Linked DNA regions of Drosophila melanogaster. The protein of the gene in region 1 purifies or fractionates together with the protein of each later gene. This does not show direct contact. Each region holds a gene or a part of one and is shown on either strand. Other genes may lie near its edges. The genes, in order: cora and Tctp.

Evidence for each region.
Region 2: the proteins of cora (region 1) and Tctp purify together in Drosophila melanogaster (affinity purification with western blotting; one study listed by BioGRID). This does not show direct contact.

Annotation. Positions count from the first base shown.
Region 1 is NT_033778.4:19,227,327-19,243,914, reverse strand, and holds cora (coracle), read right to left. Parts: upstream 14,853-16,588; 5' UTR 14,801-14,852; intron 14,492-14,800; 5' UTR 14,262-14,491; intron 8,795-14,261; 5' UTR 8,751-8,794; intron 8,445-8,750; 5' UTR 8,400-8,444; coding exon 8,253-8,399; intron 8,153-8,252; coding exon 7,707-8,152; intron 7,649-7,706; coding exon 7,496-7,648; intron 7,431-7,495; coding exon 7,072-7,430; intron 6,974-7,071; coding exon 6,852-6,973; intron 6,588-6,851; coding exon of another isoform or gene 6,474-6,587; intron 6,174-6,473; coding exon of another isoform or gene 6,144-6,173; intron 5,764-6,143; coding exon 5,601-5,763; intron 5,534-5,600; coding exon 5,481-5,533; intron 5,127-5,480; coding exon 2,130-5,126; intron 1,742-2,129; coding exon 1,520-1,741; intron 1,432-1,519; coding exon 1,330-1,431; intron 1,212-1,329; coding exon 1,056-1,211; intron 847-1,055; coding exon 736-846; intron 661-735; coding exon 595-660; 3' UTR 164-594; downstream 1-163. Other genes in the region: CG7137 (uncharacterized protein), read right to left, coding at 15,433-16,509. UniProt on the Drosophila melanogaster protein: An integral component of the septate junction. May play a role in cell-cell interactions that are necessary for proper development. Vital for embryonic development.
Region 2 is NT_033777.3:11,204,772-11,220,420, reverse strand, and holds Tctp (translationally controlled tumor protein), read right to left. Parts: upstream 10,175-15,649; 5' UTR 10,041-10,174; coding exon 9,522-10,040; 3' UTR 8,523-9,521; downstream 1-8,522. Other genes in the region: CG6689 (uncharacterized protein), read left to right, coding at 406-637, 696-1,069, 1,130-1,908, 1,980-2,315, 2,385-2,505; CG4820 (uncharacterized protein), read right to left, coding at 2,543-2,669, 2,726-2,797, 2,856-3,628, 3,692-3,808; RpS25 (ribosomal protein S25), read left to right, coding at 4,160-4,162, 4,452-4,728, 4,797-4,870; ZnT86D (zinc transporter 86D), read left to right, coding at 6,293-6,473, 6,545-6,964, 7,054-7,553; SdhC (succinate dehydrogenase, subunit C), read left to right, coding at 10,622-10,623, 10,681-11,194; cu (curled), read right to left, coding at 11,965-12,174, 12,240-12,872, 12,940-13,061, 13,166-13,228, 13,283-13,515. UniProt on the Drosophila melanogaster protein: Involved in calcium binding and microtubule stabilization.

The DNA.
Region 1 (16,588 bases):
GTGGATTGCTGATTTATATCGCCATCGAGCGAGGTAGCACGGTCCATCAAATATTCAGCGGTCCGTGGCTTATTGAAAAGCACAAATGGCAATTTCAGCAAGTGCGAATGCCCAGGGAGCCGCCAGTTTGCCTTCCAGAAAAGCACTTAATCGGTGTTTTTTTGTGTGTGTACATTTAGGTTTTATTCTTGTATTTGAATGCAATCGTGGTTTACAATATATAGAGTTTTCATTTCAACGTTGCCTTGCACATTCAATATATAATATACGTAATAAAAAGTAATTATAAACAACAGTTGTAATAAAAATAATAAACATGTAGATGCATTTTCTCGTAGACGGTTGCGGTAACGGATAATTGGGAATTTATCTTTTTATGTTTCTTAGTGTTATGTCATGTGGGTCATCAGCTCGAGCTCAAATATACACTCGTGTGTATATATATATATATTTGTTTAAATTATATTTAGATATAGGTTGTATAAAAGGTGTACTGCAAGTGCTGCGTATGCGTGGGCTGGTGTTCATGTGTGTGAGTGTGTGTGCGGGTTTACTTAGAAAATCATCCGAATGGTTTAAAAATAATTATAAAATCTACTGCGTTTGCTGCTGAATTTCAATCTTCTCGACTGTCATGTCCGGATTCATGGCCGTCGCTTCCTGTAATCGCGTAAAAAACAATTGGTATCAGTTAATGTATCTACTAACGTTGAAGTTAATCCATTAGATACTCACTTGTATTGCCTCGGCCAAGGCTTTGTCATGATCGATCGGATCTCCATCGGACTGAATGGTTATCTTCTGTTCCACTCGGGTCTCCACAATGCCATCGCGTTCGGTTTTGTACTGTTCATTTAGAGTAGAGTATTAATTAATGTTATTTTATAAATGTGGTACAACCTGAACCCATTCGAACAAGGACTATGCATGGAATATACAGTGTGGTGCATACGTTCACAGGAAATATCTTTTGGATAGATAGATAGAAAGCCTACCTCTGGCTACTTACGCAACCTAATCGAACGGGATCAGTTGGATTAGTTCCGGTTACTTACGGTAATGGTTTCCACAGTGCGGGTTTTGCTGCTCACGGTTTGGGTGGAGATGATTTCGCCATGTCCGGAGAATCCGGGTGTGTCCTCACCGAGAACCACTCGGGTGCTTTCCACATGGGGTCCAGTGGTGGCGGAGGTCGTAAACAGCGGAGATTTCTGTGCAAGATTCGAGATTATTAAGCTTTGAATGTAACTTTTTTTTTTTGGAAGCGCAACTAATTTTAGAGGGCCTAATTATCGATTGCTTATTGGAAAGTAGCCATGCATGACCCACCTGGTTATCTGTGCGCACCACACTGGCACCATCGTAGGGTCCGTCGATGGGCGTGCCCGAATCGCCGGAACTGGTCGAGGAAACGCTATCCCTCCTCTGATACTACACAACACATAATATAACATAACATATCGAAATCATAATGACAACAATCAACTCATGCAATTGGGATGCAGCCATGCGATCTTACCTGATCCCCACTGGTGACCGTCGCCGTCGTCTTCACCTCCTGGGTAACGACGCGCTGCTGCTGCTTGTTGGGATCGTGGGTGCGGGTGGTGGCCACCGTCTTCTCCTCCAGCTGCTCCGTCTTGGCGTTCTTGCCCAGATCCTCGTGCGTGGTGGCGGTGCGGGTGGTGACTGCGGTGGCCGTGACATAGGCGCCACTCAGGTCGGTGGGTGTAGCATCAGCCTAGGTGGATTGAGTGGCAAGTGGGTGGTTCAGTGGGTTAGTGCGTACGGCATAAAAATACAACAGCAATAATACAACAATTTAAGCAACAACATCAAATACAGGCGGAAGTTAGGCAAAGGCAGAGATTAAGATTAATATAACTTTGGAAAGCGAAGCGCAAAGAGACAGAAAGATAGACGTTTCCGGTTTTCAGAGCCCTAGGTTTTGATCCAATTCGATTGCGATTTAATTAAGATTTTCTAAATATTATATTGTTTGCGATGATTGGAAAAACCTCAATTGAATACCAATATCTTTTATGCCCCATTAATTAAAATCGAATTCGATCAAAGCCCTTAAGAAGTGAATTCCAGTTTATCCATAAGGGACGCAGTCCCTCGCTAACCTTGTGTTCCTGCGTAGAGTAGGTGACCTCGCCGGTGCCCAGATTGCGCACCTCCTCTTCCACATTGTGGGTCACGCCATCGATGTTCTTGGTCAGCACCTGTTTGGTGGTGGTCTTCACCACCGTGGGCGTGCTCACTGGCTTGCCCAGCTTGCCACCCGCCTGTCCCGCCGGACTGCCGATCAAGATCTCATTGACCTGGTCGGCGCCATACTGTGCGGTCATGTCGTCATCGGAGCTGCCCTCGGAATCCCGCCGCAGAGCACCCTTGCTTATGTGCTTGACTCCGTCGAAGAACTGCTGGCGGGTGATGGGTACCGTTTCCGTGGTGGTTTGCACCTGCGCCTGTTTGCCGAAGTGGGAGGGATCGATCTGGGCATAGTTCAGGATCAGTTTTCCGGTCACGGGATCCGTGACAGCCGTGGCGGGATCAATATCTCCCGTGTTCGGATCAATGTCGCCATACTCGCTCTTAATCCTGCCGGTCACGGGATCAATCTCTCCTGTCAGCGTCATCGTGTGGGTGACCGTGGTGCGGGCGCCAGCGAAACGCGGGTCATTGGGGTCCACCTGAACAATTTCACCGGTCACAGGATCAATCATATTGTAAACATAAACGGTCTTATTGAAGAACTTAAGAACGCGGCCGGAGACGGGATCGATTTCGCATGTGGAGGGATCGATCTCCTCCGGTCGACCACGTTCGTCGGTCTTCGAGATAAGCAGGATGCGCACGATCACGATCTTGCCCGTCTTGGGATCGACGCGGGCCAGCTTGGTGTAGACCTCGCCGGATTCGGGATCCACCTGGGTGGCCGCATACAACGGCTCCCCGGTGGCCTGATCCACCTCCCCGGTGGCAGTGTATATCTTTCCGGACGTGGGTTCGATTTTGATTGTGTTGGGGTCGAGCTTGGTCTGTTTCTTGATCTCGTTGGTCTTGGGGTCCAGGTAGCCATAGATGGTGATGACGTATCCCGTCTTGGGGTCCACGCTGCTGGAGATGTACTGCTGCTCCTTGGTGGCAGGATCGGTGGCTCCAGTGGGCACCCAAATCTGGTTGGACTTGGGATCCACCACGATGTCCTTGTCCTTGGAGGCACTTACTTCAGTGATGGGCGCCTTAGTGGCCGGATCCACGCGCTGTTGCACGATCCTCAAAGAGATAATCCTGGCATAATCCTTGTCGGGCTTGTTGTTCTTCGGATTGACCTGGTTCTTCAGCACAATCTGTCCGGTGGTTGGTTCAATCTTAATGTCCCTAGTAACCGTCTTACCTGATTTCGGGTCATTGAACGTGATCGTATGCTTAACCAGATCAATCTGTCCATATTTGGTATCAATCTTGCCGGCCTTCGGATCGAACTGACCTCCAGAGGTCTCCACCTGCGCCGTCTTGGGATCGATGATGTTCCTCTTGGAATCGAACTTGCCTGCCAAGGAAGTGACCTCCACAATTGGGTCAATCTGTTGGCCCACCTCAATGAGGCGACCTTGGTTCGGATCGATCTTGTTCGTTTTGGGATCCACAATGCCCAGGATAGTGATCTGGCCAGTACCCGGATCCACTTTCACGTTCTTGCTGACTACAATCTTGCCAGACTTGGGATCAATGGCCTTAAGTTCGCCGGTGCGTGTGTTAATCTCTCCATACTTGGTATCCAGCAGGCCGGTATCCAAGTTCAGGACGCCCAAGGAACGCTCAACATCTCCGTTAACTGTGTCAATCTTTCCGGTTGCAGGATCAATGCGACTGGTGATCACTGTTAGCTCCACCACAGGATTATCCTGGGGTGTGATGCAAACGATCTGACCAAGGGTGTCGTCAAGGCGTCCGGTCTTTGGATCCGCCACACCGGATACCAAATGAAGATTGCCGGTCTTGCCATCAACATCGCCCTGGAACACTTCCTTCTTTCCGGTCTTGGTATTCAGAGCCTCCAATGTTCCCTTCTTGGGATCAATCACGCCATATTTGGTGTCAATGAGTCCGGTGGCGGGGTCTAGAATGCCGGTGGAGTGCTCAATACTTCCGTTCTCCGCATCAATGCGTTTGGTGGAAGGATCGAATTTGGAGGTGATGACCATGATCTTGACTCGCCTCTTTTTCGGCTTGGCCGCTGCTGCTGCAGCTCCTGCGGCTCCAGCTGCTGCCGCAGCAGCAGCTCCTGGAGCTCCCTTTCCTGTCTTGGTGGGAGAACCAGGCTTCTTAGAGCCAGCAGCACCTGCAAGACCAGCAGCAACATCAGCTTTGGAGGGACCAACGTAACCGGGCTCTTTGTTGTAGCGCTGTGATTCCAGGAAATCAGCCGTGGGATCTGAGATGGGCTTGTAGCTTCCTGGAGCTCCAGAGGAGTAGCCTTGGGGTCCCTTGGTGGGCGAGTAGGATCGCTTCTGGGAATCGCTCAGAGGAACAGCAGCCGCATCCACAGCGCTGCCCTGGAGCTTAGCACGAGTGGTGGGCGAGAGGAGTGGATCCTGGAGTAGCTTAGCCCGCGACTTGGGCGACAATTGACCGCGGTTCAGCTTATCTTGGGTGCGTGGAGACAGCTGTCCTGCCTTCAGCTTCTCAGCCGTTTCCTTCAAGGCGTTCTCGTTACCAGGAGCATAGTTAAAGGCCAAACCAATCTTTTTTTGCTGCGAGGTAGGAGACAGCTGCTCCTGGCCATCGGCACCGGATTTCCTAGAGTTAGGATCCTGATCGTAACGGAAGCCACCAGGGGTGTATGATTTCCTTGTGGGACTGGTATTGCCATCATTATCCACGGCATACTCATACTGCCTAGTGACACCGGGAGTGGTGGATCCTCGGTTCTTAGCCGCATTCCTAGCCGCCTCGTCCAGGTTTTGATCCTGCTGATTATCGCCCAGACCAGACGTAACGACCAGACCAAGTCGACCCACCTCCTTGTCCTTATCCTTTCCGGACTTATCCTTGCCATCCTTGGATGGGGAACCGCTCTTGCTCTTGCGACCCGAGGAGAATATGCCAACGCCCTGTGGATCGTCGTTGGATCGTTTTTTTTTCGAGGATCAAATGAAAAGGTCAAACATAAAACGAAAAGAAATGGGAGGTAAAAATTAACAAAAGGAAACCATAATAATTATTACACAACCAATGAGTTCAACTTAAGATCAATTTTCGGGTTTCACTACAAACTATCATAACTTACGGGTGAAACTTAAGTGATTTGGTATGTGGATTTGGGTGGGTTTTGGGTCGGGGGGGTTAAGAGTATTTACACGAGGGCGGGCGCATTCGGTGCGGGGATATCGCTTAGCTCAGTACACCTAGTCTTGTGTGTTCCTATGATCTAGCTTAAGTTGGGGATAGTCAGATAGGATACTTACACGTCTGCCTGAGGACTTGTCAGACTTGTTGGAATCATTCAGCTCGTCATTGCCTAGATAATATTTTCAGGGAGGTTAGTAAGATTGCTTCTTTAGATACTTTATCCTGGGGATACTTACCATTAACAGCCGCTCCTGCAGCGGCACCAGCGGCAAGTGCTGCCTTGGCAGCCTTTTCGGCCTTCTTCTTCTCCTCCAACTCCCGCTTCTCCCGCTCCTTTCGCTCCTTCTCCTCCTTCTCCTTTTGTTTCTTCTCACGCAACTTAGCCTCCTTATCAGCATCCTGAGAAAACATCGATCATTAGTTAGTTATAGTTTTTAGCGTATAATTCAGAGGAAACAGATATTTGGGGCGAAAAGGCGACATGCTACAAAATGGCTGAGATGTACAATATATATTTACAATACAAGCAACAAAATTATAATATTTCGTTAATTAGGCATTACAGATGAAACTTTTTTAATACAACTGCATGTTTTGTGTGGACTGTACTGGTGTGGCCCTAAATGGTATTTACAGCTCGAGAAAGGACTCTTACAGACGTCACAAAATAATCAAATCAAAGTTAAATAAAACACGTAAAAAAAGTCAGATAGTTATGATGTAATGCACATTTAACAGACAATTGACGGCACTGATTTCTTTTTTTTTACAAAAATTACCATCAGATCAAGGTACAGCTCGTTCGGGTTCTATCACATTGGTTAGAGGATAGTCGGTTATGAAAACAAAAAATATAAATTAATAGGTTCAGAACATTCATAAATTACTGGGGTAAAGTAGCCCTAAGCTGAACAAATAAACGAATAACTGAGGGAGACTTCAAATCAAATCGTTTCATACGTAAGCTCACAACATTCGAAAAGCAGAGTTCAAAGCCGATAAAAAAGTTAGGAAGGATACATTGTAGAAGATTCGATTCGGAGGATACTTTTTTTTTGGTTTTTTTTTTTTTCGATTTTTTTTTGAGTTGTAGGTAGTAAAGTGTTAACCTGAACGGGGGGCTCAGCCTCGATGGCCTCAATCTCTAGGTTGGTCTCGTAGTCACCCTCGAGGGAACTTTGCGAGGAGGCCGAAGCCGTGCCGGTGCTCGACTGTCGCATCAACTGGTTAGTGTAATGGGGGGTTAAGGTGTGTTTTTTTTTTTTTTTAGGGGACGAAGGGTTAACATTACGAGCACATCATTTCATATTCAGAATCACAGAGTGGATGTGTGTGTGGTTGTTTGGTTTGTGAGTGGTTGTGAGTTAGTAACAAACCGAGAAGAAAGTACAAAAAACTCTGGTTAACTCCGAAATCATCGTTAAACATGTTCATCTCAATAGCTATGTTTCGTCAGGCATTAGTTGGTTAAAAACTGGATGGGTTACCTTCTCCTTCTTGTTCTTGATGGGACTGCGGCTGTGGGCATCGCCATCGGCATTGCGATCTCCCCGATGATCCAGGGTGCTGCTCTTCCTAGCCACCTTTTCCTTTTCGGCCAAGGCCAGAGCTGAAAGGATCAGGTAATTAGAAACAATTCAAACCACATAGATTCAAAACTATCAGGTTATATATAAGCAAGCTCTACTCAAGACTAGGTGTAATTACCATCCATGCTCCTGGAAGTGAGACGAGCTCCGGACAGAGTCCTATTGAACTTCGGAGGAGTACGATCCACGGGTGTGTTCGTGCTCTCGGCCTGAGTGCGACCCTTGTAGCGATAGGTGGACCCGAAGACTGGGAACATCTTGGACTTGCTGACCGGTTCGGGGGTCATCAGGCGGAAGAAGGTGTGGTGCTCCACGCAGGATTTCCACAGTTTCTTGGCGGCACGATGGTTGGCCAGCTTAAAGCCAATGGTGGATTCGTACTGCTCGAATTCACCCGGTCGGATCTTGATGTAGAAATGGTGGCGCTTGTAGGAGATCTTCAGAATCTTGGGCCAGGCAAAGCGGTTGATGCGCAATCTAGTTGGATAGTGGTTTAAATATATTAGCAATTGTTTAATTTAAATATAGTAAGAGCTGCTCACTTATCGCGGTAGACGAGCAAACCGGAGGCACAAACGCCCAGCATGATGTCCACGCCCTCAGAATCCTTAGCGGGATGCAAGTCCACGCCGTACATGGCCAGCTTCTTGGCATTCTCCAGGTAGTGTAGCTCAGCCTCGGCGGGCGATTGTCCCCTAGAATACAAAATATTAAAGTGAGTATAAATCCTTGATATAATAGTCCAAAACTTACTTGTGGGTCTTGTGAAGATCCATGACCTTATCCTCCAACTCAGCCGTCTGATTTGGAGCGATCTTGAAGTCCTTCAGGTAGGCCCTGGTGGGCATTTCCTCTGCATCGTAGTCGCCCATCTCCGACTGCACCAAGTAGGATCCGAGCAGAGCGTGGGTGACGAATGTGCAGGGCAGTCGACCCTCCAGGATGTCATTGCGCACCTGCAGGCACAAATGGTAGCGCGTGATGTCCTCCTTCAGCTGCGATGGCTCCGGCGGATAGAACTTGACGGCGAAGGTGAGAGGCCAAGTGTCCGTGCGGAAGAACTTGGATACCGGCTTCTCCAGATCCAGCCAAGTGCGCGGATCTGTGGGCGTCTCATAGGTCAGACCAAAGTAGTCCTTTTCGATGAGGTTCAGACCGGCGCAGATTGAGTTGATCACATCACGGCCAATGGCTTTGCGCTGTGGAAATCAAATTGAACAATTCATCATTGTAAATGTTTTTAATCATAACCTTAAAGGGTTTGACTTGTTTAACACATCATCATCCCTGCTTACTCACATCAATGGACACGTCCAGAAGGGAGCCATCCAGCAGGGTGACTCGTGCTAGGGCAGGCTTTCCGTGCGAGGATGAGCTGGACTTGGGTTTGCTCTTGGTCGGCGTTTCCGGCTCAGCGGGCGCGGATGGTTTAATTTCCGCCGGCATCTTGGATTGGGGGACTTGGCTACGCCAGCGACAGCTTGGAGTTGGCTGCAAGAATGTAAAGACTTTAGTAAATTGCACTGGATCCCAGTTAAATGGCCGGAAGTGTCCACTCCGCGGGGTCATGTGTCCCAGTGTGTGTGTGTGTGTGTGTGTGGGCGCCTTTCGCTCATTAGAAGTCTGCAGTCTGGACATAAAACACGACATAAACTTTCTCAATTTGCCTGGCGCCACTGCGCAAATAAACTCAGCACACACACATTTAAGCACAGGACCCTCAGCCAGGATGTGTACAACTCCTCCTTCTCCACTCGCTGATGACTATGATGTCACCAGTTGCAATTGCGTACTCACTTCCAAAGAGCTCTAGAATTTCTCCGGCAATGATTTCCAGCGAGCTGTAAGAGAAATTTCGCCATTAAAAGCTGAACTGCAAATTGAATTACCATTTTACTAGCGAAAGCAGATAGTAAAAAAAACTTTCAGGTCTGAGACCATTACAATGAGTTGACCATAAACCGCACAACAGTCAGATTTCGCAGATCTATTATTAAGCAGAGTGAATACAGATAATGCCCCAGTAATTAAAGTCATTAAATATACAAAAGTACATGGGAATAAAAGTTGGGAACGTCCTTTGAGTAAGCCGAAAAGTCAAGTGATCGGCGACAGCTCACGTTCCAGATCTGGATTCAAGTTCAGCAGTGACATAAGTCTTCCATATATACATATATATAAATATGTATATGTATGCTCCATATCGGTGTGGGTTATATAAGCCGGCAAGTCGAGGCAGCGTCATGTTCTCGCTTTTATCCCCTTCCGTTTCCATTTGATTCCGTTTGCGGTCGGAATTTAGCGGGACTGCAAATTGCGCAAAATAATGTTGTTTTCTTCTGAAAAGAGACGATATCGGCATTTTGCCACGGATGTGGACACACTGCCCCACCCAGAAAAGAGCCTTCAATCAACGCTGATTGGGAATGTACTTGGGTGTAGCCATAGTTATGGGTATGGTTAACGTGCGAGGATCGAGAGTCAATTGAGCCCAGATGCGCTGACCGATTGCACAGTGAGTTCAATTTACAATCGGAGTGTTTAATTGGCTGGGAGTCATGAGCCAAGAGATGTGTCCATCGATCCCGCAGAGGAAACTAGCTGAACCAGTTTGCCACAGACTTCGTGATAGAGGTCTTCTATGGCGCTATAATACTGTTTCAGTTTCGGACACGACCCCCAAAGCGAATTAACTCTGGTGGCGTCATCGTGCGTTCAAAATTAAACAAAAACACACACATGAAATATGTATGCTGAGAACCAGAACCCGAAAACCAAAAAAAAAAAAAGCAGACAAACATCTAATTTATATTATTTTATTTATTCTCGCGTCTTTGTAGCGCGCAGACCATGTGTATATGGACTCCATATAGCATTACTTTTGGCAGCGTGCTTGTTCTCATAGTTGAAGGTTGCGCATACGCAATGTTGACATCATCGACGGGCGGTTGCAACCACCTCGTTATTTTCACTTGGCCAAATGCAGGGCCCCATGAGTAGTGGGAATGGGTATGGGAATACTTGACTAAGATCGGCGGTGAATCAGCGGCATTATCTTGCCGTGCCGACTTACAAATTCGTTTGGCTGGCAAACCAAAACAAAGTAAATCGCTCGAATTGTCGATAGCGCATAGCGATTTTACAATGCGGGGGCATTCGTACATGATTTATTTTCGATGACATCATCAGCTAAGCGATCAGCACCAGCTAAGGCATAATATCAAGAGCTATTTCTAGAGTTTATACAAATATATTTGCAGAAGATGCCGACACCCAAAAACATTTTCAGCACTTGGCGCATTCGCCTCAATTGAAGGAGGTCGAGGTGAAATTCATCAAGTGGCGCGCGTCTAATCTTTAGGTTACAATATTGCTGGCCAGGCGAGAATAAATACGTCCAAATTGAGCAGAGAAGAAGCAGCCTAACCAAGTGAGTAGAATATATACATATATATGTATATATATATCTGGTATTATTGTGAAAGTAACGAAGTTCTTGTGGCGGACAGAAGGCAGAAGCACAAAAGATGGCAATCGCGTCGTTTCAATTGAGATTCGGAATGAGAACATGGGCACTCGTACTTTGGGTGCAGCCGGCTCCCCTTTAATTAAGTTTCATTTAATACAACTTAAATCAAATTCAATTGGCGACGGGTCTGCGCCAGGTTTTTCATATCCGCGGGGATGGCTCATACATGTGTCATCGAGTTATTACTCTGACATCAACATGGGTCACCTGGTGGGCGGTGGCGTCACTTCCCCGGGAACGGCGTGCCCCCCACACATTGAATTTCTCCCTTGTATGTACATAATACATATATAGTACATTCCCTCTAGTCATTGTGACTAAACTTTCGCTTTTATGCCCATTAACATTAAAATTTCCCCCGGGGCTGTGAAGTGCACAAAACTTTTCAAACTTGCCATTTTCTGAGCTCAACGAAGCGTTGCCAATAAATCGCATTTAAAATGTATTATATACTGACTTCACATCCGTTTATAAACATGGCCGCATTTCCGCAAGGGAAGCTGTTACATTTTCCGTTGTGGTGCATAAATTGAAATATGTACATTAATTTGACAGACATCTGAGTGTCATTTTAGCTAATTAGAGTTATATTATTATATCAATTTAAGCTTTTAAGAATACTTTCATTCTCTTTATCACTTTACCCCTTTGAACCAATCATTCACTCGAATGAACAATGGATTTCATGCCTGGTGCGTCAGGTCTTCCAAGTTATTTTGTATATTTTTCGAGGAAATATGGAGTGGGAAATACGTAAACATTCGCGCATTCTGGACTGTGTGCTAAAGTGGGAAAGTGGGTCAATCAATACAGAACGATTAGAGGAGGGTGTGTTTCGCTCTTGCGAATCCATAGACTTATCGACGGAGTGGAACCGCCTGGCAGTCGAGGATGGCGACTCTATGGAACCCGTCAGTCGATAAGCCAGATCCGTTCCCATTTCCCATCGCACTGGCAGCCCTGAGACAGAGATGACCACTAGCTAGTAACTCAGAAGTGGATCAGCCACTTGAGGGGAACTGGTTTCTGGTCACCAGATGCCACTTTTCGACAGCTCAAGTGACGGCTCTGTGGAGCAGTGTGTCGCTTGACTAATTACCGCTATGATCGACGTTCGGATGACAAGGCGACATAACCGCACTGGATCACACCCACACATAGCCATCTGCACCACCATCGCTCCACCACCCGGCACCATCAGTTCTCCACTGTCAATGGCTATTTAAAGCATTTGACTTCGCCTGGCCAACGAACTCTGAAATGCATCCACAGTTGCTGCTATTTCAACACCATAAAATATAAGCTGAACCAAAATCATTTTAGATGTTGTATCCGTATGCAAGTCTTTTTAAAATAATATATATAATATAGAAAAGGGTTGAAACAATTTTTTGGTTTAAGGAACATAACTATTTTATTTAGTAGAACAGAATAAGTGGTTTTAGGTTAATATTTTTCACTGTGTTGGTATGCCGCACCCACATGCACATCGCGTTTTGATTTCTGCCCAGAAGGTGAGGGAAAAAGTGTCGCGAAGGGCGGAGAAAGTAAACAAACGAACCGCCCTCGAGGAGAATTTTGTCCACTTCAGCGCTTTGCACATTAATCATAGACCTATAGACGCCCCATCCGCACAAGTAAAAATCGATGCGACAAGGAATAAAAATAGAAAACGGAAAATCGAATGGGCATTTAGGAGGAGCGCAAGAGGGAAACTGATTGGCTAAAAAGGGGGCTGGAAAAGCTGCCTTCCATCCGATTAAGTTTGTTGAAAGATTAGATTGGTTTTTCACCTCGCTGAAGGAGGGTGGAAATCTTCCGGTGAACTAAGAATAGCTAGCGATTCTAAAGAGGATTCATAAAGATGAAGATATTAAGTGCTACACATAGTAGGTGAGATCCCCAATCTTAACAACGATCTGGCCACGCTGGAAAATCGCTGGTTGGGGCTTAGTCTCCGTTTTCCGACGAGAGAATCCGAGAGAATACGGAGAGACGCGCTCTGGGAGCTTCTAACGCTGGAAGACACACCTAGTTGGTAACGCTCGAATTCGGAGTCGTGTTCGAATTCAGGTTTTCGAGGGGGCTCTGATTCCGACTCATTTTGTTTTTTTTTTAGCCATGTTCATTCGCGTGCTGCCAAGTCGTTAGCCCTCCGAAACTCTCTCACTCTCCAGATTTTTGTAGTATAGTTTTCCACTCGCTGGTTGTACAGTTATTGGCATTCAGTTGGCTGGCACTCCTCGTTTGCTTTGCTCGGCTGCTTTATCTGTTTGTCTGCTGTGCAGCCAACTTCTTGGCCAGCAACAACCGGTTTTTTTTATTTCTTTCTTTTCTAATGCAAGCTCAACCTCATGTTAGCCAGTTCGTTTCCATTCCCACTTTGCATGGCCTGGCCAAGAAGACGAAGTCTACATGTTAATGTTTCTTACTATTTGGGTCAAAGCCCACACCTCCCGGAAAAGGTGGAAGAAAAAAGACTTCACGTAAACAGCGGTTTTCGAAGAACGGTTTTTTGGTTGCCAAGTCAACGCCCCAGGTTTTCCGGGGATGGTGAAAATCGTGCCGTGACTCAGTGGATGGGGGATGAGGGGACACCTAAAATATCGCCACCAGTCACCTGCCATTCATAACTGGCCTTTGTTGTGGTGGCCTTATCTTATCTTAGCCATGTTTCCTAGTGGCTGGGATAAAGACCGACGTTGTTTACCCCAGCCGATATCAAACATATGAAAAATGCCAATGCAAAAAGCGCTCAATGTTGTGATAAGAAATGTGGAAACCTGCTCGCAAACCCAATGGATTCTATTTTGGGAACAGTGACGTCTTGATGCTTGGGGAATTTAGCCGCCATATGAAACTATTATATATGCCATATGAATGCGACGAAATTCCAAAATTATATTTAAGCGAGAGAAGGAAATGAAAGGAATCGGTTTCATAAAGTGCGCAGTTCTAGGAATTTTGATTTTTCGGTTGGTAGTTGGCCTTCTTTAAAATATAAATTCAAAGTATAAATTCTACTCAATTGATATTTACACTTAAGAAGTTTTCTATTCATAATCATCATTATGAATAACCTTTTCAATTTGCGTAGAATTCAAAAGTGATTGTATGCCTTTCCACATGCGTATCTTTGAGATACATATACATACATACGTTGTAGTTTTACCGATACTGAGTAGGTTTTATAAAGATATAAAGTATTTGCCCCCTTTTTTAAAGTTCACTGCTAAACGAAACTACCTTTGAGATACATTTGTATCCGATCGGTGTTGTGGAACGTTTCCTTGACTACCGCGGGCCCAATAAGAATTTCCCACCCTGCGCCCCGAAATGCGAAGCAAACGAGGAAAACACAGAAGAAGGAAAATTGGAGTAAGGCAAAGACAGAGGCAAAATCAAAAGAGAGCTGGCGACAACAACAATGTGGGCCGAGTTGACAAAAACAAGAAGTCGAAAGAATAAGAATATCGTGCCAAAAGATACACTCGAAAAGCTTGACAGCTCACAGATACAGATACGCAGATACAAATGCCGCGTGAGTGAGTCGAGCTCTCTTTTCGCTCCCGCTCGCAAAGCTGCTCTCAATTAACTCTGCTTTCGGGTGTGTGTGTGTGTGTGTGGTGTGTGCTATGAAGTCATACTGCCCAAGTCATTCTGCGCTTGTGTTGGTATCGAAAACATAAGCCACCAAAAACTCCCGACCACAGCCCAAAAGAAAAAAACTTGAATAAAAATGTAATTAACCTATGTCGCAATCCCCAAATTGTACTCACCCTTTTAAGACGCCTCTAGAATCCTTTTTAATCCACAGCAAGGACACGCAGTTACCGTTAGTTTGGCGGTTGGCTGATTTTTACTCCTGTATTTGTGTTGTTTTCACTTTTCTCCCGTGGGCACTGCACTCACTCGCTTTCACACTAGTAAACAAATTCTTTGCCACTTTTTTCTATTCGTTCGCGAAAAAAGACAATTTGTTGTTGTCGTCGTCGTCGTCGTTGAATACCTGTTGAAAATTTGACGTTGAGTTTCTTTGAGTGAGTAATAGAGAACGCAAGAGTGGGAGTTGAAGGGGTGTGTGTGCTGTGAGGGGGGTTGGGCTCAGGGGTATAATAGAGAGCGGGGTGGGCGTGGGCGGAAAATGCGCGAATAGTGGTTGCTAATAAATTAATTTCCCATTTTATTTATAAACACACTGCTGCCGAATTGCGCGCTTTTCTTTTCTATCCGCTCGTCGCCGTTTTGCAATTACTTTGCTGCTGGCCAAACAACAAATCTTCTCACAATTCTGGCAGCGCGATCACACAAAACGTACCGTCTTCACAAATATTCGATGTGCTGTGCACGAAGAGCAAACTGGTACTGAAACCGAAAACTGAAACTGAGAGCCATCCGCTTGCCGCTGCTCGATTTGGATTTGAGTCGATTTCAGTTGAGACCACTGAGTTTTGCTGAGAAACCACCACCGAGTGGTTGCAGTGCTGGCAAATGCCGTTGGTTCATCTGAGTGCTTCGGTTTGCTTTTCAAATGTTTATAGCAATAGCGCTGTTTGATATCGCTACAAAATGTATATAAATCTATGTTTTCTTAATAAATGTATGGTCCGATTTCAATCGTTAAATTTTTTAAAAATTATATGACCTCTAATGGAAATTCGAGTGATTTTTTATCTTTTATACATTTTTGTCGCATATATCAAGGCGCTATGTATTCGACATACATTTTTAATCTGTGCCCTTTTTTGTTGCTAAATTATCGCGCCTTATTATCAATTTGTATATTTTCGACCGAATAATAAGAGATCAAAACACATTTGTAAGAATTCCAAATTTATTGCGGTTTCTCCTACATAAAATTAATGTAACTATCTATAATTGCATTCGCTGTCTTGGTTTCTTTAACAGTTCGCAAAGTCGGAAATCTACTAATCTGAATAGGATAACATCCTATCGCTTGCGATATAAGCAAGGTTTGAGAGAGAAAGCTTTCATCTTGGTGTTCTTGGGCACATGACGCATCTTCTTGAATTGGAAGAAGTAGAAATAGTTAACAGCCACATCCTTCTTGTTAAGATCGAATCCACATGCATTGAGGCAACGCACAAACTCCCGCACATCCTGGAATCGCGACTGAATCTCCGCGATATAGACAGTGCCGTGCAGCTTGAGCACTCGATTGGCCTCCAGGAAGAACTCGTTCAGATCCGTGCCCATTAGTGAGAGGCAGTATACGGCCACGTCCAGAGTTCGAGCTTGGAGTGGAGTATCCGTGATGTTGCAGGCAATGATGTCGCTACGAGCAGCGACCAAGTCCATGGAGTACACCTTGTTGGGCACGGATTGTGCCAATTTGCCCTCGCCGCAACCAAAGTCGCCAATTATGGCTGTTTTGGGAATCTTCTTGATGGTCTTGATGATGCGATTAAGCGGATTGATGGGCCACTTCTCCACCTGCTGGCGGTAGCCAGCGTGATAGGCCTCGAAGGCGGAGCTATCCTTGCGGAAAAGTGCCTCCGCCTTGCGACTGGTCGTCGAGTAGAGCTGCTCGTTGATGTATCGGAAACGTCCGCCCAGGAGTTCCGATTGCAGCTTACTGGCCAACGAGTTTGCAGCCGGCGTGGTTGAGCTGGTGGCCTCCATGGCCTCCAAAGCCGCCTGGGCCAGTTCGGGTTTCAGTTTCAGTTCTTTTTTGCCACCTTTTGTGGCCTGCGTTGGTGGTCGCTGTTTCTCTATTCTTCCGGACTTCACCTTGTGCATGGCCCGGATGCCATCCTCCACATCTTCGTAGTCATCATCCGAGGAGTCTTGGGGCGGGGCAAGAGGTCCTCTGCCCTGCCGGTAAGTGAATTTTTCAGCTGCCTTGTTCACATTCAGATTTTCATTTGGCACAGCGGCCTTCTTCTTTTTGGGTTTCTTCTTCTTTGGTTTCTTCTTGGCGGCAACTCCATTTCCTGAAGGATTTACCGGCTCAAACTCAATGATATCGGCTCCTTCCTCCCAGGGCGGCACTTCGAAAGGCTTCATTTTGCGGTGGAAAATTGTAAACAAATGAAACACGTGAAGTCTACGTTCTATGAATTATCGTATTTTTCGATAACAGCAC
Region 2 (15,649 bases), on another chromosome or scaffold:
TGTACGTATACTTGTATTTTTCGCTAGATTAATACTAAGTGGACATAGAAATGCGCTACCATTATTACCCAAAAGTTTTCCTTGGTTCGCAAGAAAATCAAATCAAATAAAAGAATACAACGTTATCACTGCGAAATGCTGCTATTCTGATATAAAAAAATTACATTTTTTTCAATTACTAATGAAATACAGTGTGTGTGTGTGTGTTTGTGGGTTAAATAAAGCAGAGTTTTTGTAAGAACATCAAATAAACGTAGTTTTCTGAATTTTGCAATTTCAAATAACTGTTGCATTTTGTGACGTCATCGATGTAACCACCTCGAATTGTTGGCATCGTGGCAGCGCAACATTTGGTCACACTGCCGGATTATTTAATATAAACATTGCGCACTTTATTCTAAAAATATGCGATGTGCCGTGCCCAATTGCCGAAATTTCTCTGACTGCCGCTCCAAAAGGAATGCGGCTCAGCAGCAACGCTTGGGCTTCTTCCGCTTCCCCAAGTGCCCGGATACGTTTAAGGCTTGGCTAGCATTCTGCGGCTACACGGAGGAGTCCTTGAAATTGAAGAATCCCTGCATTTGCATCGAACATTTCAAGGATGAGGACATCGAGGGATCCCTGAAATTCGAAATGGGTGAGTTCCATGTGTGAGCCGCTAAAAATGTCCAACTGAGTCCTTGTCTTTCGCTCAGGATTGGCAAAAAAGCGCACTTTGCGACCAGGTGCAGTTCCCTGCGTGAACAAAAGCCAGGAAAGTGGATCGGATAGAGCCCGTAAGGAGAGGTCACAGCGCCGCAGAAACCAGGAGCTAGTGGCTGAGCTATTGGCGGAGGAGGAGGCCAAGCTAATCCACCCGGAGGCTACTTCATTTGAGCAGGATAGTGTGTATTTATCGGAAACTGTAACCATGGAATTGGATCCACTTTCGGGCGAGGAAAAGTTGGAAGAGCTGCAAAAGTGCCGCACATGCTACAATGACTTCACCGCTGACTTCAGGGCCAAGGATCTCTTTGACCCGGCCAACAGTGTCCTGCTCTTTCACATCGAAGTCATAAGTGGTGTCTGGGTTGGTTATTCGTACATTTTATAGAGCAAAATAACATGTATTGCGTCAAAAATCTTTTAGATCAGTCACAAACCAGACGAGCCGCGCCTCATGTGCCCTGCGTGTAAATCGGCCCTGGATCAGGCCATCGATTTCCGGGAGATGTGCATCAGCACCGAGCTCAAGCTCAGCCAAGCCAAGCCCTCAACTGATGAAGTGCAGATCGAGGCTGAGAATGAGAATCCAATATCATCGGATCACGATTTGATATCTGATACGGAGAACACTAATGTGGAAGAGATTGAAGATGCAGGTGGAGATCATGTTGAAGATGAAGCGACATCAGATGACCAAACAAGTCAAGAGGCAGTCGACGAAGTCGCTGAATCGCCCGCCGCCCAGGATCCACTCAGTGTGGCTCTGGGGGCCAAGATCTTTAAGGAGCTATTAGATCAATATACAGGGAAGGAAAAAGCAAGACTCAGGAAGGGAGCACCAATCGCGAGTAAGCCCAAAGCTAAGGAAAAGGCAGCTGGTGAACAGAAACCGAAGCGCAGTGCCAACCCAAAGACCAAAGAAGAGAGGAATCTTATACGGCGCGCCCAGCTACGCGCCAAGCCGCCGAACTTTGTGTGCGATCAGTGCGGCCAGGCGTTCCGCATGTCACACAATTTGCGCATCCACATGCTGCGGCACACTCGCACCAAGAACTACCAGTGCACCGAATGTCCAAAGACATTCTACGACGCCTACATGCGCAACATGCACATACGCATCCGTCATCGGGGAGAAACTCCCTTCGCCTGCGGCTTCTGCAGCGAAACATTCGCCTATCCCGGAGCTCGCCAAAAGCACGAGAGGTGAGTGGTAAATGTACACAACTAACATGCATGCATCAACTTTCTTTTGTACTTATGGCCATCCATTTCAGCGAGGTCCACAATGCGGCGCCTCGTCTCATTGTGAAGCGCATCAATCCCAAGCCCATGCCCAAGCCTCGAGAAAGTGTGCGATATCAGTGCAAGCTGTGCCAAAAGCACTACGCCTCCAAGTACGCCCTGGGCTGGCATATCAAATCGCACACCGATGCGAACGCCTACAAGTGCCAGCGGTGCAGCAAGAGCTACTCGGATCCCAACAAGCTCAAGCGCCACGAGATGACGCACGAGAAGAGGCCGCTCCAGTGCGACGTCTGCTTGAAGGGATTCTATCAGCGGACGCGGCTGCGGGAGCACGAGCTCATTCACACCGGCGAACGTCCATATTGGTGGGTGTTCTCGAGCTTTTAGATCATTAGTTTCCTAATTAATATAATTGTGCTTGTTAATCATTACAGGTGCGAGGTTTGCAATGTTAACTTTCGCTACAAGTACAACATGAAAAGCCATGCGAACAGTAAAATGCATCAGGATAATGCTCGCAAATTGGGCGTAGTACAAATTGTTGCAACCGAATGAAATGCGTGCTTCTTTTTCAATTTTCACTTAGTTGGATTTATGAATTAATGGCGGTTGGATTTGATTTTCTTTTCTTTCTTCGTTCGTTTTCGATGTGACTGGAAGAGTTGATGTGCTGAGTAAAGTTGCCGGCGCGCAGGAACCAGAGATCGCACACCTCGCAGCTGAGAAGTACGGGGAAATTAGATAGAATAATGCGAAATTACTAAGAGCAACTCACTGGAAAGTGCGCTCGCCCTTCTTGATGATCTCCCACTTGGATTGCGGCGCTCGTCCCTTCTTGCAGGCCTCCCTGTAAAATGATTATAATCATTTATAATTCGTAGCTTTAACTGCTGCGTAGGACGCACCTTTCATGTCTCACGCGCGAGCTGTTCGTGCTGTACTCCAGGCCGCAGAAGGTGCAGGCGTAGGGACCCTCCGTGTGCTTCAGCTGGTGGCGCCGCAGCAGGTGGAGCGTGTAGCACTTCTGGTGGCACTGGTCGCACTCGAACGGCTTGGTGCCCGTGTGCCGCAGCAGATGGACATGGAGATTGCTGGTGTCTTTGAATTGCCGGCCGCAGTGCTCGCAGATGCAGGGCTTGGCGCTGGGTCCATTGCGGTCCACAATACGCTTTGGCTGCTTATCATCGATGACTTTTACATGGATCAGCTTTCGGCCCACGCGCATTGTGTGCTTCTTGGACTTTATTTTGGCCGTGTTCTTGCTTCTTCGCTGTGCTGGCTCGTTGGTAGTGGTCGCCACTTCAGTCTGTGCCTCTCCATAGTCCTCGGGAAGGGGTAGGATGTCCTCACCCGGTGCATTGCCATAGCTAAGAGCTTGTTCAAGCTGATTTTCGGGATACGGCGCTTGTGGGTCCTCTTCCATTTGCAACTGGATGGGTTCTATTTTGATGTCACTGGCCGACATCAGCTCGTCAATGCCCAGCGGATCCGGAGCAGCTGCCTGCTGGACGCGAAGTTGCTCCATGGCCGCTGGAGCCTCGCCGAGATTCATTCTCCTCCGCCGCCTGGCGAAGTACTTCTCGATCTTGGCACAACGCCGCCGGAACTTTTGCACCTGGCTGAGCAGCACCTGGCAGTCCGTACATATGTGATTGGGCAAATCCTGGACATTCTGCAGCTGTAAGATGGGAAACAATCGCTGGTTGGATACGGAAACTACTGAGTGGAATTGTTCACTTACCCAGCAATTTGTGATGGAACGGACGCACTGCAGCAACTTTCGGCCCGCAGGCGTGAAGATCTGAAGGCATTCATCGGCCACGACGGTCTTGCCGCAGGTGCGGCAGAACTCCTTCATTTTATGCAATTGATTTGCCAATTATTTAAATTTATTTGTTTGACATGCGTAGGAGTGTGACCGTTGCTCAGAATGACAAAATACACTTTGAATGCGCAACGGGCACCTTTATCCAAAAATGTTTCGATAGTCAAAACAATTGTTTAATTCCATGTTCACAAATGTGAGAAGTCTAATTTTCCCAAGAAATGCAGATTATTCATATTCAATATCTACGAAATCCGTTATGAATAGTGTTTGGTATTTTTATACACTCCACCACCAACTATCGATAGGCAGGCGAGCAACCCGTGCGATGGATGGTAACTCTGGCCGTTTCCGCCCTCCATCTTTCTGCATTGACTTTTCACGATGGTGAGTTCGCTGCTACTAAATTCTGCGAAAATAATAGTTTTTCACTGTGAAAGTGGCCCGCAAATGGAGGCAAAATATGAGTGAAGTGCCGCCCCAGGGCTGGGCCATGAAAACAACACCCAGCTCAAGTGGGAAAATGTGAAAATGCGGGCAAAAAACAAAAGCATGCCTTAACCTCGAAAGCAAGCAACTCCAGGTGCTGCTCAATGGTGGTCAATGGGGTTTATTTATGTCTGGGATTCAAGTGCAAGTTGTTAATACAAGCCCGTTTTTCTTTGCAACATTCCAGCCGCCTAAGAAGGACGCGAAGTCTTCGGCCAAGCAGCCGCAAAAGACACAAAAGAAGAAGGAGGGATCCGGCGGCGGCAAGGCCAAGAAGAAGAAGTGGTCCAAGGGAAAAGTCAGGGACAAGCTGAACAACCAGGTGCTGTTCGACAAGGCCACCTACGAGAAGCTGTACAAGGAAGTGCCCGCCTACAAGCTGATCACCCCATCGGTGGTCTCCGAGCGTCTGAAGATCCGCGGCTCCCTGGCCAAGCGTGCTCTCATCGAGCTGCGCGAGAAGGGTACGTTTCCTTACGCTTCCTACCTTTTCGTTAGCATAAATCCTAATGGCACTCTTCTTTGCTTTCAGGTCTGATCAAGCAGGTCGTGCAGCATCATTCCCAGGTCATCTACACACGTGCCACCAAGGGTGATGAGGCGTAAATGAATGTTTTACCTTTTGCCCATCTCGCATCGCCGTAGTCGCACTCGCCTTACAATAGAACTCTGTATCGATAGCACTACGATGCCGCTGTGTGTGTAACGTTGAATAAACTTGCTTTCTTATTGATGTAAGGGACATTTGCGTGATGTTTAATTGATATAAAGATATACCCTCTTATAGAGGGATGTATCACTGAGCGCTGGTTTCAAGATGTCGAGCCGGAGTTATACGGCTGGGAATGTAAAATATCATATAGCCCAAAAACTATTGTTCTTACAAATCGAACAGCTGACGTGCAATATATTTGCAAATCAGGATATCAAGAATTCTTATAATAGCAATTATTATTCATTGCAATGTGCGTTTAATCAAAAATACTTCTAAGAAAGTGAACATTTCATTAATGTCTTTCAAGTTTGTTATCAATGAGGAACTATTTTTAAAACAGCCGCTGAAATGTATTTTTTAGTTGAATTTAGCACTTTGAATGGTTATCATTTGAATACAAACAGTAAAATCATGATTCATTTGCTGTAATTCACATCAGCAAGAATTTGGTTATTTTCACTTATATTAAATAATATTTGTTTATAAAAAAATAACGAATTCCCAATAAGAATTAGTACTAATCTTCTTCTTGCTCTCAAGCCATTCACCCTCTCAGTTTTCACGTGACAGTGAGTACTCAATTGTAACTTCATAATTGACGACAAAATGAAGTCAAAAGAAAAGCCATTGAAGTTTATTAAAGTTTCATTCAATAAGGTATAAAAATTAGAAACTGGCAATTCTTAATACATGATTAAAGTGAAAAATAATAATAATCAAAAGACCGCAATAAATCAAACTTCCTTAGAATTTATACTTTTCAAACAAAATGCCGGAAGATCTAACTAAAAAGCGACCAGTAAAATGAATACCCAACAAACTTTCAGTGGTGCACTTACTGTGGCCATTTGCCATTCACAACGAAGCGCTGCTTTCGTTCGGACGAAATGTTTACGTGGTTACCATTATTTTGATGACAACACGGCAGATTGGTTTGGTGCTGGCAAAGACGGGAGTTCGGTTCTGGTATCTGGTACCCAGTAAAAATGAATTAAGCTGCAGCTGAATCGCAGATCGACGAGCCCGCGCCGCACAACTGCGCACACAAGACGACGACGACGACGAAGTCGCGCAGGAAGCATTTTGCTTGTGAGATAATTTGGGAATCAAAGAAAAGAGACCTGCCGCCGCCGCCGTTGCCGATAAAGATTCTCGCGAACCCGGCCAGAAGCGGAGTGGGAATCACGGAATCAGCTGGAGCGCGGCTATAGCCAACCGATAATACCACGTATGCAAACAAAGTGTGCTTTCTTAGTTAGGTGCTTAGATCTCATGTTGGTCTCGTGCTCTTTTGCAGATCCATAACCGGCAAGATGATACCGCTGTCGCACAAGGACCGGAGCAGTCTGGGCTACCGGATCCGGGAGAAGCTCAACAGCTGGAAACGACTCATCTTCTCCGACCGCAACTCCCGGAATCTGTTCCTCTTTCTGCTGCTCAACCTGAGCTTCGCCTTCGTGGAGCTCTTCTACGGCATTGTGACGAACAGTTTGGGTGCGTACTTGGCCACTAATGGCTTTTTATCTTATCCGCAGTTTATAACCTACTTGATGGTTAATCCGCAGGCCTGATCTCCGACTCATTCCACATGTTCTTCGACTGCACTGGCCTCTTGGCGGGACTGGCCGCGTCGGTTATCACCAAGTGGAAGGCCAACGACAAGTTCTCCTACGGCTATGTGCGCGCCGAGGTGCTGGCCGGCTTCGTGAATAGCCTGTTCCTGTTGTTCATAGCCTTCTTCATTCTGTCGGAGGGCGTGGAGCGACTTATCGAACCGCCGGAGGTCAAGCACGAGCGTCTGTTTGTCGTCTCCGTGCTGGGACTGCTGGTGAACCTGGTGGGCATCTATGCCTTCAATCACGGCGGACATGGACACTCGCACGGTGGACACGGACACTCCCACGGTGGTGGTCATGGGCACGGGCACTCGCACGGCCACACGGACGCCGGCAATCACAATCACCAAGCCATCACCTTGGACAATGGTAACTGCAGTTGGAGATTATATCTTATTATATTGACTAGGAATGGGACAATATTCTAATAACCCCTTTTTAAATCCGCCCATTTCTAGGCCATGGACACTCACACGATCACGACAGCCATGGCCACTCGCACGGCGACATGTCGGGCAGCAACTCGCAGATCATGCGCGGCGTCTTCCTGCACATCCTGGCGGACACTTTGGGTTCGGTGGGCGTGATCATCTCGGCGGTGCTGATGCACATGTTCGGCTGGATGATAGCGGACCCCATTTGCTCCATCTTCATAGCCTTGCTGATAGCGCTCAGTGTGCTGAGTCTGATCAAGGAGTCGATCATGATCCTGATGCAGCGACAACCCGCCGACCTGGACCGATCGCTGCCGCAGTGCTATCAGAAAGTCACCGGCCTGGCTGGCGTTTACGCTGTGCAGGAGCCGCACTTCTGGACCCTTTGCTCCGATGTCTATGTGGGCGCACTCAAGCTGGAGGTGTCCAAGAACGTCGATCCCAAGTACGTGGTGACGCACACACGGATGATCTTTGAGGCGGTGGGCGTCAAGCAGATCTACATACAGTTGGATTATGTTTGATGCCAATGGGATCGACCCACCGGTGTCCTTGTACAATGATCTGTATAGTTATCAGCGCATGTTGAATGTTTGTGGGCAGTGCGACTCAAACATTATGAAATTTTAGTATACTACGGCGCCACAATACCCCGCCCATCACTTCCGAATGTCCCCTCCAAGAGCTAAGTAAAAGAAAGTGTTTGATTTTCAGTTGTACTTTCCGAATTTTTGTTAACTTATTAACGTTTGTATTTGTTGAAATGCGTTCGGCATTCATTCCAATTCTATACATACTGAAAGCATGGCATAACTTATGCAATAGTCCATATCGAGGAGCATTAGTGTAATTGTAAGCTAAGCGAAAGATTTTGTGCAAAGGTAAATATAAATATTTAAAGATTTTTTAAAATTCAGCATGAACAAAACCAGAAAATAGCAACTAATTCTGACTGACATTTCCATGGACATTCCGCCGTGCGGTGGAAGTGCATTTGGTGAATCGTTTTTGCCACAGTTTGAAGCATCAAAATTATGAACGAAATAAAATTTAATTTGTTATTAGCATTTTTATACGTAAACCGAACTGAAAGAAGTTTTAATTCCGGTTGGATGGGTACTTATCATTCGTTTTTTGTTGGGTACAAACAAATAACCAATTAACATATTCGATTAGATTAACCTATTTCAATTATTTACAAAAGATTCCCATTGAAAATAATCTGCTATTGAACTGCCCAGTTTACTACTTCTTTACAAAAATATAATTTAATTTGAAAGACCACAAAATAAACCAGAATTGTATAGCTTGTTGTTCTCCTTATTGTTAAAAAGTTTTCTTGGAACAATACTCCATTTCAACAACGCTTCATAAGAATGGAAAGGTACATAAATAGACACATATGTATGTATATTAAAAACCATTAAATTCAACAATGTATGAGAATAGCGAAGAAAAACTTTTAGCTTTTTATCCCGAAAATGGTTCTATTTCAACTAGATTCAAATACTTGAATAAAATATTCTTTACAATTTTAGGAAAATATATTGTGCTTTTCAAAAAAATTGTTTTCGAACATCAGACAATATCGCCGTTCGCCCTAACGAGTGTCCACTGTGCGCATCTCTCACGCGACGAACGGCAACAGGTCGACACGTTTCGCTGAAATGGAAATAGCACCTGGGGCGCAGAGCCCCGCCCTTCAAGCAGATAAAGACGTACGTATTGCTTGACCTGGAATTAGATTATAGAATCCCAAATTCCAGCGAGAGCGGCGCATTTCATTAGCATGGTTGAGGTTAGGGCGAAGCCAACGTGAGAAACTGGGGCAAGTCGAACTGCAACGTGCAGAAAATCGTGTTCCACTGCGCATGACCTCCAAAATGTCCAATGACGGTAACGGTATTGGTGCGGGGCATGTGTACATCACTGTCAAAGGTCAATAACTCCGCGATTGCCCCAAAAAGCAGCAACAACACAAACTAACTGAAGTCTGTGACTCAGACGGTGGTGGCGCCCTCTCGTTCCCACTCACGCCGCCATATGGCGGCGTCTACCTACGCATAACTGCAGATTTGGAAAGAAGTACAGACATGCGGATTCACAGTTGTTTTGTATAGGTGTTCCGTTTAATTTCAGTACTGGTGTTCCCATTTTCGGTCTTCGTTGCTTTTTGATATCTTAGCGAAAATGCATACTAATTTGTAGGTGTTGCTATCAAATTATTATTTTAATTACAATAGGTGGCGCAATTGAATTGTTTAGCTCGCTGTGATTAAACAATAAACATACAATGTCGAATTTATAAGCGCTCCGGTAAAAAGAAATTAGATATAAAATCGCACTGATCGAAGACAGGCATTTTTGTCAGCGTTTTTAAACATAAATTTAAGACTTTCAAAATTGTAACTAAGCATCTGATAAATATGTATATGTGTGTAGAAGGTATGCATGAGTATAGGTTCCGTTTTGTTTGGGGGATTGGGATCCATCTAGCATTTCTCCTCCTCCAGACCGTGCTTGAAGAACATGAGCACGGGCACGCTGTCGCCGTTGATTTCGCGGTATTCCACCAGGGCCACCATGCCGTCGCAGTCCATAGATTCGCCGGTGAAGAACTGCAGCTCCTTGAAGCGGCCAAGGATGTCCTTCATGGCCTTGTTCATGTTGGTCTTGAAGATGTCGACCTGGTCGGGCGACTTCTCCTCCAGCTTGGCCAGCACCTTCTTCATGTAGTCCTTCAGGTAGAGGGTGTACGACTTCTTGTCGCCGAAGGCGAAGCACTCCGTCAGTCGGTGGTTAAGCACAACATCCACGCCAGACTCCGAGGTGATATCAGTGCCCTCGTCGGCCTCCTCGGCGGATGCGTTGGCGCCCTCCAGCTTGATATCGTCACCCTGGCGGGTGATCAGCTTTCCGTACACCTCGTAGATCACATCATCCACCAGCTTCATCTTGTAGGTGTCGGCAAACATCTCGTCGCCGGTGATGATATCCTTGTAGATCTTCATGGTGATTGGCTTGTCGGGAGTCGGAAGATGGCGTCTAAATCGCTGGCGAAAATGCAACTACAACTGCACCGGACCGGGAACACTGCGAAACGACCTGCCACGCGCTCACTCGAACAGCAAAAAGAATGAGCGAGAAAAAATGGCGAAAGAACTGCCAACTCGCTTGGGAGTGGTAACGATTGATCCGGGAGTGGCAGCGCCTACTATACACGTATCGATAATTTCAATGTTTTCTTCGATTTATTGTTAGTTAAGAGCAGGGAATATTAACAAGGCGAACAAAATTATTATAGCTATAATATTGATGTTTCTTACGTATATTTATGGCCATTCTAACTTTTAATAATTTGAGACTGTTTCAGTAAAAAAGATAAATATGTGTAATATTCTCAATTGGAATAATATAAAAGTGGGAACAGAATTAATCATATAAAGTAATAACAATGTTTTACAGTTGATATAAAATCAATACTTTCGAGACTTATTTGTTTTTTACCAACGTAGTGGCATCCCTGTTTGCGGTAATATCGCGCAGTCAGTGTACGGTCCCATCAATACAAGTTCGAGTGAAAAACAGGGAAATGTACGTAATTTCTGTGATGGCACTGCAAAAACCCTGATTTGTGACTGCTTTTTGCAGGTATGCACTCTCCAGTTCTTTGATCCGCTCTCCGGCGCTGCGCCAGGGCCTCCAGATGGCCGCTGCCAGCCGCCCGGTATCGATGAAGGTGGTTTCCGTGGCCGAAACCCAGAAGGACGAGTCGTTCTTCGAGAAGAACGAGCGCTTGGGCAGGGAGCTGTCGCCCCATCTGACCATCTACCAACCGCAGCTGACCTCCATGCTCTCGATCTGTCACCGCGGCACAGGATTGGCCCTGGGTGTGGGTGTTTGGGGTCTGGGATTGGGCGCTCTGATCTCGTCCCACGACATTAGCCACTATGTGACCATGGTGGAGGGCCTCCAGCTGAGTGGCGCCACTCTGACCGCCCTCAAGTTTATCATCGCCTATCCGGCTGGCTATCACACCGCCAATGGTATTAGGCATCTCCTCTGGGACACCGGACGGTTCCTGAAGATCAAGGAGGTTTACTCCACCGGTTACGCAATGGTCGCCACCTCTTTCGTGCTATCCGCTATCTTGGCCCTGCTCTAAGTCCAAGACCCCAGCTAAACCTATTACATTTTAGTGCGAACACTGTGTGAAAATTGTTATATACTAAATACATGTAGTGTGTATATTTATAAAGGTGTTTGTTGTGTTACGCAATCCATTTTGTTGCTTTGGGCGTGCTGCATACGTTTGTTGTGCGCTGCAATTTGCACGGTGTGCGTGTTTTTAACGATTTCGGTGATTTGTAGAGTGAATTCAGTGTGGAGGCCGGTTAAATAGACATCTTGCGGTCCATTGACAGCGAAATCAAGTATACGCCCCGAACAAGCGATTTCCGATAGCAGAATATTACTTACATGCGCCCAAAAGTAGGGAATACTTTTTATAGGCTTAAATTTACATGAAAAATTAAAACCAAATGCAAAAGGGCTCCGAAAATGTATTTATTTAAGAGTAGCTCTTTGGCTTCCCTAACTATAGAAAAGTCTTCTAAAGATCCTTTTACTTCGGAACTGAAGAATCTTTTTATTAGATGGGGGATTCAGTTCATGTACAGAATCTATATAAAATATGTATATCCTTAATTTTGATTTTTAAGAGGTCATTGTTATATGGATAGAAAATGCAGTTCAGTTAACTTTCTTCCATACGTTGTAATTTATTTATTGTGAATTTTGGATTATCATTTGTAAAAGCTGCAAACTGTAGTGCAACGGTTGTGTATGAGGCTAATATGTATCTAACAACTAATATCACAATCGATGTAATGTTATTGAAACTTCTTTTTCGGCAAATTATGAATCTGAAGCTTTCTATTGAATGGATCCATGCTTGCTGCCCTCCACTTCCGTTTCATTTTCACCATCGCTCCCACTTCCGCTGCCGCTTTCCTTTCCGTTTTCCGTCGGAGGCAGTAGCTCAAAGTCACACACCAGGGAAAAGTGATCCGATGGATATTGGAAGCTGGGTGTGCGATTCTTGCCAATTTGCTCTCCGGCCGGAAAGTCTAGACAGTTTTTGATCTGAAATTGGACATAAATATTGTTAAATAAATTGTAACCGCTTGCAACTATTTCAGAAATCCCACCTTGAGGCGATCGGGTGTGTAAAAGACGTAGTCGATGGTGTGACATTCCTCGCCCTCTTCGCGAATTTTCCAGGTGGTGTAGGGTGGCTCGCGTTTCATCGATTTCGCGACGAACTCACCGACATCCGCGTTGGGATGTAGTATCTCCTCGCGGTCTAGCTTCACGTCGGCATAGGCGCTGCCCAAGCGGAGGAGATCACATCCCAAGATCGTGGCATAGATGGGCTCCACCGGTTCGGCATTGAAATCGCCGCAGAGCAGCAGCGGCGTATCTCCGGCAAACTGCTTCACAAACCTAATGAGATCACGTCCCTGTTCGTTCCGTAATTTCGCCAAAAGGGCGCCATGGCGGGCCTTTAAGTGGGTGGTGGCCACACAGAATTCCCGACCACTGGATCGCATACGCAGCCGGGCCGCGATGGCCACCTGGTTGCTCTGCACCCGCCACACTTCCAGGATCCTCGTGTCGTATCCCTGCAGCTGCAGTTTGTCCCTCTTGTAGAAGATGGCACAGCCATCGGGTCCATTGTTCTGCTCGATGTACAGGCACGGGGAATCCGGTTTCGGGAAGAAGATGCCTGCGTAGTTCTGGCTACCCAACACGGTCTGCAGGAACTTGAAGTGGTCTACCTCCTAATTGAATATATCACATTTAAGTGTGACTGTCTTGAAAATGTTGGGTGGGCTGATGTGAACATACTTGCAGACAAATCACATCGGGCTGGTTCTGCAGAATCTCCTGGACAATCAGGTACTTGCGGTGCTCCCAGGTGAGAGCCTCCTCGGGACAGCGCACAAATCCATCGTTGTGCTGCCCGAGAGCTGGGTTTCAGATGAAGAAATCAAGTTAAATGGGATAGAGTTAAGGTATAATAATGCAAATTCTTTAAACATATATAAGCATATAAATATTTTTAGGGACATACTTTGTGATAGGATGTTCCACTGCAGCAATCGAATGTCATCACCCTCGACTGGCGCACTGCAAACTGCACAAATAGATTAGAATATAGCCCTCGGATAAGACAAGGATGCAATCCTACCCCTCGACACGGAATTCAGCTTGAGGCATCGCAGTCCGTCGGCTACATCCTCGTCCGCCAGCAGCGGTTTTAGGAAGCCGCGGGTGAGCAGCGATGGCTGCTCGATGCCACCGCCACGCAGTTGCTGGACATGCTGGAGGAGAGCCGGGGTGCTTAGACCGGAGGGCAGTACCAGGCCATCGTCCTGGGAGTCCACATTGTTGATCTTTGGGGCCGAGTTAAATGAACCCATTCTGGAATAGGATTAGGTGACTCAATTAGTTTACAGCCGTTGAACAATTAACTATATAAAAACTCGACTAAGCGAACGTGTTTAGCACTCACTATTCGATTATATTTTGCTATTTCAAAACACAAAGATTGAGTAAGTCTTTAAATGTGTTTTCTTTTAGCATTTCAATCAAAAACAAATTGATAAAAGCTTCTCGCAACAAACAAACAACTTTCAGCGAATAAACACCAAATAAACAACATCAATTAAATACATATTATTTCACATTTTCTGGTACTCACAAAGCATTGGGTTTTCTATATAGAATTTTTCTCAGTATTATGCTGAAAATGAATAGACTATGACTATGACGCTGACTCGTATAAAATTGTCCCATTTTCACTTTGCTGCAAGGAGTTATTTGAATGGAGTAAGTGTTTTGTGTGCAGGGAAGAAAAATATTAAGAATTGTTAGGTTTTTCAATCAGATTTGATCAATTTAAAGAACACAAAAAAAAAACACAAAAGTGAATAATTTCGAAAATGGGGAATTGGAACAAGGAGTTATTGATAAAGTGCTCAATTATTCAATCTGTCACAATCAACTAGCAAGCTTAAAACCATTCTCAAAAACTCTTTCTCAACTAAAGATATATTTTCTATTCTTTTCAATCATTGTTGCTAGGTAGCTCATAGCAAAAAACTATCTTTTAGTTATGGATGGAATGCATGATTTCACTTTCATTGATCATTGATTCCTTTACCAAATGAATCTGACTTCCTGAAGCTGGACTCAATCACACTAATCTGCGTAGCTCACAGCTAAAACATAGTTTTCATATTGCTGGATAGAACGTTTCTGGTTTTCGTGTGCCTAAGCTTACGGCAATTAGCACATATGCTCCGATTCTAAGAAGATTACCGGACATTAGAGCGGGGTATTAGATGGTGTAGCGGGGGTAAGGGGTGGGAGAATCTGGAACGCCCACGCGACGATAATCCCGCGAAACAAAAACAAAGGCGAAAATGTCGCTCGGTCAATAGCTTCGCAGCTGTTCGTCTGGTTTCCAACGCTCCGCGAGAGAATCGAAACCAGTTCCCGCCGGGGATTGGGATTGAATGGCGAATGGCGACTGGATTTGGGGCTTACGGGCTTCGGCATGTCACCGCAATCAATCACCCGCCGCCGGTGGATCAGTTGTCCCCCCATCCCACATCTCACATCTCACATCTCGGATCGCAGCCCATCTCACCTGGTCAGCATCACTTTTTGCAGATAGGCCTTGCGATCGTTTTTGCAGGGCGCCTTGTTGGCTCGCTTAATGGGAACGGCTGGCTCCATGTCTGCGGCAGGATCAAAGGATTTGGATGTTTTGGATTTCGAATGTTATTTTTTTTTTAACTTATGTGGGATATGTGAGGTGGTGACTTTAGCGATCTTTGGGGGAGCCGGAACGAGGTGCGCTTGCAAGCGACTTTGGCGAAACTGAATGCCAACTGAAGTGCGGGGTTTTATTAGAGAGATCATTCGCGCTGGAGGCAGCGAAAAGATCGCGAGGAGAGCACGCACAAACGGGTATTTCGCATACGAGATGTATCTGCAAGATACAGATACCGATACCGATACAGATACCCCCAGAACGAGATCAATACGGTTCGGCTCACGTGTGGAGAGCTCCCGCGCCAAAATGCTAAACAAAAGAACGATTCTATAAGTACGTCGGACCGACTGGCTGTCTGTTTCGCTGGCTAGCTGGCTGGCTTGTTAAATATTTATGGCTATCAGTTAATGAAAACAAAAGTGCTGTATGTATGTATGCCTGCATGCAAAAAAAGTGGAGAAAATAGCAGCCAGCATCCTTAGATAATCAATGGCGCTGTTGTATGCCTAAGCAGAATCCCAAATGTTCTCAAATGCAAATTGCGCAGACAAAAGATACAATTGTATCTGCACAATTTATACAGCAACGCAGTTACATGCCTAATGAGCTGTCCGCCCAAGCTATATAGTACCTATATCTGTTGTATCTGTAGCCGATTTTCAGCGTATACCGTGGAGAAGATTTCAATTTCAATTTCTATTTCGATTTCGTTACCTGGGAATCGGAACGGCCACACGTCTTGCGAACGTCTTCGATGTGACGATCAAACGCGAC